Linked DNA regions of Caenorhabditis elegans. The protein of the gene in region 1 interacts with the protein of each later gene in a pairwise test. Each region holds a gene or a part of one and is shown on either strand. Other genes may lie near its edges.

What was found.
Region 2: the proteins of cct-4 (region 1) and Y39A1A.3 interact in a two-hybrid assay, tested with the Caenorhabditis elegans proteins (one large-scale study listed by BioGRID).

Annotation. Positions count from the first base shown.
Region 1 is NC_003280.10:8,281,600-8,286,520, reverse strand, and holds cct-4 (T-complex protein 1 subunit delta), read right to left. Parts: upstream 2,855-4,921; 5' UTR 2,854-2,854; coding exon 2,750-2,853; intron 2,704-2,749; coding exon 2,031-2,703; intron 1,982-2,030; coding exon 1,379-1,981; intron 1,330-1,378; coding exon 1,105-1,329; intron 1,058-1,104; coding exon 1,040-1,057; 3' UTR 810-1,039; downstream 1-809. Other genes in the region: nst-1 (Guanine nucleotide-binding protein-like 3 homolog), read left to right, coding at 3,333-3,351, 3,401-3,499, 3,564-4,329, 4,378-4,561, 4,637-4,921. UniProt on the Caenorhabditis elegans protein: Molecular chaperone; assists the folding of proteins upon ATP hydrolysis. Known to play a role, in vitro, in the folding of actin and tubulin.
Region 2 is NC_003281.10:10,594,485-10,598,411, forward strand, and holds Y39A1A.3 (Sjogren's syndrome/scleroderma autoantigen 1 (Autoantigen p27)), read right to left. Parts: upstream 2,004-3,927; 5' UTR 1,985-2,003; coding exon 1,745-1,984; intron 1,403-1,744; coding exon 1,306-1,402; intron 1,173-1,305; coding exon 874-1,172; 3' UTR 774-873; downstream 1-773. Other genes in the region: Y45F3A.9 (rRNA methyltransferase 1, mitochondrial), read right to left, coding at 1-40, 578-678; epg-6 (Ectopic P granules protein 6), read right to left, coding at 2,473-2,648, 3,563-3,927.

The DNA.
Region 1 (4,921 bases):
AATAAAACGAAAAAAATGCTAATAAATTTCAGAAAAAAAGAAATATAGAATATTTCACAACATGTTGCAACAGCGAGTACTTCGAAACTAAGTACATCTAGTATAGAGTACTGTAGTTTCCGTGACCGCTTCTTCCAAGAATTAAATAAACTATTTAACTCACACTAAACAGTCGTCTGCACATTTACCAAATCCTTTTCGTCAACAATCCGGAATCCGTCGCCCCTCCTGCATAACTTCTCACGGAGACATCGTTTGAATTGTTGTTAATTTGTCAGTCTCGAAATGCTAAAGTTTCAGCTATTAAAATGCTCGGAAATATATATATACCAGCCGTGGACCGCACCTACGGCGCGGCCCCCGACTTTTTTGAGAAAACACATTAGATATACGGTGTCTATCGCGGACCTCGATCGATGTCTGCTGCGCATTTAGCATAAGGTTTCCCAAAATTTCGTTGCTCTGATCAGAGATCAAACTACATAGGGACAGAAGGACACGCGCTTTATATATAGTAAATGATGATATATATATATATTTTTTTTAATTTATTTAAATATCTTGAAATTTACCTTTAAAGCATCAAAAACGGGCTCTCCTCCGGGCAGCGGGGCAAAAAGAAATAACTTTTAATTGATCGGCTTTCGAAATTTGATTGCCACGTGCACTGGGTTCACGTGAACACGTTTTTAATTAAAACAAAACTTTATCAAAACTTCAAGGTGTGCCTTTCAACTGAAGTTATTTACCAACTGTTACGTCTGTTCAACATGTCTCAACATTCTACACTTTGTATTTCAAAATTAAAACGGTTGAAGGCATTTCTTTATCAAAACTGAAAACAGAAAAAAACGGGATAGGATGCAAACGGAAAAGCAGCAAAACATTTACGGGTATTAAACACACATGATGGGCAATTAAAACTTGACATCATCTTAAGAGACCTTATTGGGATGAAGCAAAACCATAAAGTAACAATTTTCGTCAGGCGGTAGAGCAGGAAGTATTATGAACTGTCTTTGTCAATCGTAGGTATTGATTAGCGGACAGCCATGACCTGTAACAGAAGGTTGTAGAAAAGAAATAAGTTGTGAATAAACTTACAATGTCATCAATCTTGAGAATTGATCGAACACATTCCGATGCTTGCTTGATAGCTGATGCTGTAACAAGAAGTGGCTGCACAACATCTTCTTCAACCATATCTGTGACATATCCCTTGCGTACGTTTACTCCATAGGAACTGTTTCCATTAGCATGGTTGTTTCTCAACTCCGTAACAGTGTGAATTGGTGACAATCCTGCGTTTTCGGCAAGTGTGTATGGAATCTGTATAACGTAACCATCATTGGTTTTAATTACTTTCAATGTAACTTACGAGCTCAAGTGCATCAGCAAATGCTCTCCAGCAGTATTGCGTAGCTCCGTGTTGGGTTTGTGCCAGATTTCGGAGTTTTACAGCGATTTCCATCTCTGGAGCTCCACCTCCTGGCAACAAAGCCTTCTTCTTAACCAGGCATCGAATCACACAAAGAGCATCGTGGATAGATCTGTCAGCCTCCTCAAGCACCAACTTGTTTGATCCACGAAGAAGAATAGAGACAGCATGTCCTGGATTTTGAACACCAGTCACCTTGATGACCTTTCCATCTCCTCCAGTTGGAATCTCTTCCACAAGATCAGCATATCCGAGTGCATCAGCATTAAAATGATCGACAGAGGCAACTGGTCGGCAACCGAGAATTCTTGAATAAAACTCGATATCCTCTCTTTCAATATCTTTGATGCACATGATCTTCATTTTGGCGAGGAAATGCAAGGCGAGTTCGTTGACAGCATCTCTAAGAATACTCTTTTGAATCAGAAGAACATTACAACCAGCAGCTTTAATCTGCTTGCAAATTTCTAGCAAGTATTGACGTTCTTCCTTCAAAGCACGATCCATTTGAGCATAATCAGTGATAATAACTTGATTTTCCATCTGAAATTTGAATGCGAATTTAAAAAATTAATTTCTTCAATCAACTCACGTCAGTTTTTGGGGGGCTAATCTGGAATTGAATGAGTCCAATCTTGGCTTTCTCAATTCTTGTTGGAGCACCACGTCCCATGGTTTTCTGATCAATGAGAGCTCCTTCGATGAGTTCGGATTCTTCAACCGTGTCTCCCATTTTCTTGATGATCTTGATCATTTTCAGGTTGACATTGGAATCGTTCTCTGAATTGATGATCTTCTTGACAGCATTAACTGCCATAGGTGCGAGCAACCATGAGTGTTGAGAAACAACCTTCGAGTTCAACGATGTTGTAGCCATCTTGTTGAGCAGAGCGTCATTTGACAAATCGACTGGTGAACTCATTTCGTCAAGAATCTTTTCAGCTTCGGCAGCAGCACTTTGGAAAGATTCAGAAATGGTAGTTGGATGAATACCTTTAGAAAGCAGGTTCTGAGCAGCATCAAGAAGAGCTCCAGCCATAACAACGACAGTAGTTGTTCCATCTCCAGCTTCGATATCTTGAGCTTTTGAAAGTTCGACGAGCATCTTAGCAGTTGGATGAATGACACTCATTTGGTTCAAGATGGTAGCCCCGTCATTGGTGATGGTAACATCCCCATTCCCGGACTGAATCATTTTGTCCATTCCTCTTGGACCCAAGGATGTACGGACGGCATCAGCAACAGCTTTTGCAGCAACGATGTTACTGAAAATGAACTAGTGATTTAAAAACAAAAAGGAACAAAGCTCACCTATTGCGAACACTCTCTGGCTTGTCCTTATCCTTGAAATTGCGCTCGCGACCGGAAGCCGATTGTCGGGCTGTTGCAGCTGCGGCTGGAACTGCTGGTGGCATCTGCAAATTAAATTATGATGTTGAAGTCAGACTCTCAGAAGAAATGAATAAAACAACTTTACGGATAGAGGGAATAATATTTTAAAACTTAATTCTAATGTTATTTTCGAACTTTTATTACATTAATTTTGATGAAAATATAGAAACAAATAATAATTCTTCTAGAAATTCTATAGCTTTTAAATTTAACGTTCAGTTTTCAAGCGGGAGCCAGAAAGATCTGTGGAAATACTGGTTTCGTGGCGAGACCCACTTGAGTTCACCAACGTGCCTCCCTTTAATTTATACTCGCATTCTTTTTATTTTCTGGCCTTGCTTGTCGATTTTCTTTCACATGTTATGTTTTGCTTTCGAAAAACGTTTTAAATAAATAATATAAACATTTAATTATATAAAATATATTACGATTTCTTGTTTCTCTTCCTCTTTCTTGTCGAAAAATCAATTTGTCTTTTTAAGAAACCAACAGTCAGCAGAGAATGGCGAAATACTGTCTGAGTAAGTTGATATACATTTGTAACAATATTATAAAATACCTCTTTTACAGAAAAAACCAGTAAGCGAGTCAGCTGCGCCAAGCGCTACAAAATTGAGAAGAAAGTTCGCGACCATAACAGAAAAGTGAAGAAGGAGGCTAAAAAGAATGGTAAGTAAAGTTTTAAAGAATGCAAATAAGGCTATTGAAATAATGGGAAAATTTTTTATTACAGGAACCACTAATAAAAAAGAAAAGACTATCAGTGTTCCGAATTCATGTCCTTTCAAAGAAGAAATTCTGGTCCAAGCAGAGCAGGAGCGCGAGAAGATAAAAGTTCGTCAGGAAGCTGCTAAAGAAGCTGCAAAAATTCATCGCATCGAAAAGAGAAAAAATAATTTGCCAGCCAATTTTGAAAGTATGGTCGCAAAAGCATCGAAACAAGGAACCGAATTTGATAAGAAAGTTGCCAGTGCTGCAGAACATGAGAAGTTCAACACCTTGGATGACAAAACAATCAAGGCTTATGCCAGTGAAGTTAGGAAGACTGTCGAGATTGCTGATGTTATTATCCAAGTACTTGACGCCAGAGATCCGCTCGGCAGTCGTAGCAAGTCTGTAGAGGATCAGGTCTTAAAAGGTGGAAAGCGATTGGTTCTTCTTCTTAACAAAATCGATTTGGTGCCCCGTGAGAACGTTCAGAAGTGGCTCGAGTATCTTCGCGGTCAATTCCCGACAATTGCTTTCAAGGCTTCAACACAAGAGCAAAAGTCGAATATTGGCCGTTTCAACAGCGCTATTTTGAACAACACTGAGACCTCGAAATGCGTCGGTGCCGACATTGTGATGAAAATTCTTGCTAATTACTGTAGAAACAAAGACATTAAAACTAGCATTCGCGTCGGAGTTGTTGGCTTCCCAAATGTCGGTAAAAGCAGTGTGATCAACAGTTTGAAGAGAAGAAAGGCATGCAACGTAGGAAATCTGCCAGGAATCACCAAGTAAGTTAAATTCAGTTGTTTTTCTAAGCTTATCAAATTTATTTTCAGAGAAATTCAAGAAGTTGAGTTGGACAAAAATATCCGTCTTATTGATTCCCCGGGAGTCATTCTCGTCAGTCAAAAGGATTTGGATCCAATTGAGGTTGCTCTTAAAAATGCTATTCGCGTCGACAATTTGCTTGATCCAATTGCTCCAGTTCACGCAATCCTTCGTCGTTGCAGCAAGGAAACTGTAAGTTTAAAACAATAATAATCGTCAAAAGCCTTGATTAAATTTTTTGAATTATTCAAACTGGTCTCTTTTCAGATTATGCTTCATTACAATCTTGCCGACTTTAACTCAGTTGACCAATTCTTGGCTCAACTTGCACGTCGTATCGGAAAACTTCGTCGTGGAGCTCGTCCAGATGTGAATGCTGCTGCCAAACGTGTATTGAACGACTGGAATACAGGAAAGCTCAGATATTACACTCATCCACCAGAGCAGGGAACTGCAAAGGAAGATATTGTTGTTCCTGCTGAAGTTGTCTCACAATTCAGCAAAGAATTTGATATTGACGCGATTGCTGAGGAGCAAAACCAGATCGTTGAA
Region 2 (3,927 bases), on another chromosome or scaffold:
GCCAAAAAGTGCTTCTCCTTGCAGTTCAGGTACTTGAATTCTGTAAAAATAGCGTTTTTGTAGAACCTCGCTATTAATTTTTTTGTATTGTTTGGTCTTGGCACGACAATAACTTTTCAGCTACCGTAACCAGTCGTTTAATTTTTTTTCAGTTTTTTCCTGGTTTTTCTCGTGTTTTAATGGCTTTTATACCCAAATGCGAATGAATTGCCTAAAAAATACGGTGCCGAATGCACATGGGAATGCGCCTTTAAAGAGTACTGTAATTTCTAGTTTTTGCGGATATATTATCGATTTTTTTAACTTATGGTTTTTTTAAACAGTAAACACATTTTTATCCAAAGTCTGAAAAATCGACAAAAATTCAGGAGCAATCAAAGTTTGAAACTACAGTATTCTTTAAAGGTACACACCTTTGCAAAGTACTGGAGTGGTTACTGTAGTTCAAAAGTCTTACTCGTGTCAGGACCCAAAGCTTGAAAATTAGCTTAAAGACATAATTATTAATTTTTTACTCGTTATTTTCGATATGACCTAAATTTTGAAAACTCTGGGATGTAATCGTGGCGAGACCCACTTTTTGGCCACATATTTCTCCGCGGATTTCCTAGCCATTTTTGCTTTTCGGAACAACAAATTCGGCTTGATCTCCGCAAAATTTCGGGCGGTCCGATGCATTTTTCTGAATTTTTCTAGATTATTGATTGCTAATTGTCCTTAAAATCGATATTCAAACTTTGCATTTTACTACTACGTTTTTCAAAAATTAATTTAAATGGAAAAAGCGTTTATTTATTTTGAAAATGTTTCAAATTATACCAACAAGCAATAATTGAACCACAAAATTCGAAAACAAAAAGAGCAACATGAGATTCAAATACGGAGAGCCTTGAGAGTTTCGGCAGATTTTTGAATGACGGAAAGAAAATCCATGACACGAGCGACTTCTTCCGTTGAATTGAGCCGATCGGTGGCCCATTCGAGCTTCTGAAGGACTGCAGTGGTGGCTGATTCAATTGTATCAGACGATGATGGCTCAGCAGCAGCCGGAACAGCTTCCTTCTTTTTCGCTGGAGCAGATTTCTGGAGCACTGCTTTTTTCGCTGGTTTATTCACTGGAGCCGCTGGGGTTGGGATCTTGTTGTTCACAGCTTCATTCAGGTCTTCGTCTTCTGAAAATTTATAGGTCTATAGATTTCTGGGTCTCGCCACGAAATGTAAGACATTTTTCAGAAGATCTTTAGAAATTCAAATAAAAAAATTTAAATTTAATTTTTAGTAATTTTTTGCGACAAAATCCCTTACGCAATGAAACCTCGCCGACAATAACCGACGATTTTTCTCTGAAAAGTTCACAGGTGACGCAACGACGCACGAGAGCTCGGTCCTCCATGAGAATTCCCTGAAAAAAAAAAATTTGAACTGAAATAATCAGTCAGTGGCCACGTATTACCGGAGCACAAAATTCTGAGAATACGTATTGCACAACATATTTGACGCGCAAAATATCTCGTAGCGAAAACTACAGTAATTCTTTAGAAGGACCACTGTAGCGCTTGTGTCGATTTACGGGATCTTGATTTGCAAAAATTGAGCCCGTAAATCGACAAAAGCGCTACAGTAGTCAATTAATGAATTACTGTAGTTTTCGCTACGAGATATTTTATATTTTGCGTGTCAAATGATTTGCCCAATACGCATTCTCAGAATTTAGTGTTTACCGTAATATTAGTCTTCATCTTACACTGCAAGTCGGGCAGTACTCATCCAACATCGTCTGTCCCTTTAACAAAAGTTCGCCCATTCGCTTCGAGACCTCATCTCGAAAGCTATCTCGGAGACGAATTGACGCAGCGTCATCATCACGAATTCCGTTGATTGGTGCCATTTCGTCGAGATAATTGCGTGCCGCGGGATGTGGGGTTCTGTCAATCCACGTGGATTCTCGTGTCGACGTCAGATTCACAAACTTCTTGTGGACCATAAACTGAGCAACGGAAAAGCTGGAAAAAAAAAGATTTTTTCGATTTTTTTTCGATTTTTCTGGTTCGAAAATTCGAAATTCTGAAAAAAAAAAGAGTATTTCGCCGATCGATAAACGGAAAATTCAAAATGTTTCTAAAAAATTTAAACGAAAAATTGAATTTTATTCGGATTTTTAACCAAGAGAAGGAAAAAATAACAAAAATGTACACACAGAAACAGAAAAATTGAGCAAAACGCAACGTAGAGGAGGAAATTCAGAGAGAAAGTACGAAAAATTGAAAGTGGAGGGAAAATGAAGTGAGTAGGGCCATTTGCACCTTTAAATTTGAATTTTAGGGCGAAAAATGCCAACAATTGGGAGGGGCTTTCTCGGGAAAAAAAAATGGCATTATTTCTTTTTTTTTAAAGCAATTTAAAGGCACATGGCAGGTTTGAGTGATGAATATAGCACAATTTTGAACATTTTTTATACACATTTCCACATTTCTACTCGACTGGCGTACGGAAGAACGATGAATCGTTGGCGACCTCGATCAATTCGTCGTAAGACCCAAAATGACTCGTGAAATTTCCAGTGTTGTCCTTGTAGAATTCGTGTCTCCAGTACGTGGCGTCTGCGCAGATTGCGATGATACTTTGCAGATTTTTCGGCGTTTCTGGAACTTTTTTTTCTTGAAAATTGGGCATATGTATAAATATTCAAATAATTTTAAATTTATATTATGAAATTAATAGTCGTACGGCTACGCTTTCAGATAATTTGTTTCGATGTTTAGAAAAAAAATTTCGCTTGGAAAATTTTCAAAAATATTGAAAAATTATTTTTTGAGGGCAATTTCATTTTTTTCGAAATTTCTAAAAATAAAATCGGGAACATTTTGAATTTTTAACAGAATAATTTCTCATTCGTCTACAAAATGGACATGATTTAAAAAAATTAATATCAGATCTCTAAGCCGAATATTTTCGAATTTATTTTGGAAATTATCTAGTTTTTAATAATTTTTTTCGATTTAAAAAAAATAAAAAACTAGTTTTCAAATTTTTTCAGAAAATTCGGAAAGGTATGTTTTTTGGTTTTTTTTTCGATTTTTTTCCATATCAAATTTTTAATAATTTCCAGTAATTTCTTTAAGTTTTTCTCATAAAAATCAACATGTTTTTGATAAATCCATAGTTTCCTCGCCTTTTTAAAAATTATTTTTACTAATTTTTTTCGATTTTAAGAAAAAACTTAATTTTTTTTTTTGAAAAATATCAAAATTTCAATAATTTCCGGTCATTTTTTAATAGTTTAAAGGCAATTTTCTTTTATTTTTCGGAAAAATAACATATTTTTTGATAAAACCATAGTTTTCTGATTTTTTTTCGTTTTTTTTTAAAGAAAAAATCGACAAATCGAATATTATTGATTTTTGATTTTCTCCTATAAAAAAACCGAGATATCTAAAATTTTTTATGTTTTTTTTTCAATTTTTTGGAAAAAAAACAGTACATTTTTTTAAAAGATTTTCTCCAAAAATCCAAATTAGGAGTGTTCTTATCCAAAATTTTTCAAAAATATTTCAAATCTAACTTTTTCCGAATCCAATAGCCATGACAGGCCTATCCAGCTGAATTTTCACAATACTTGAGCTTCCACGGCTCCTTTCGAGCACATTTTTCTTTTTTTGTGGCTCAGCATCTCGAATTCCAAACATATGCAGAGTTCCCTTATCACTAGCCACTGCCAAATAACTCGAGCACGGTGAAAAAGCCATACACTGAAGGTGAGCCTGAACAGTTCCACGACGAAGTTCATAAAGTGGTCCCTTGGTTCTGGCGTCGAAAACTCGAATTACAGTACCCTTAGTAGATCCTGTGGCGACAAGGGTTCCCTGACAATTCAACGCGACTTGGGCAATATCTGTGAGGTGTGCTTCAATGACAATCGGGGATTTC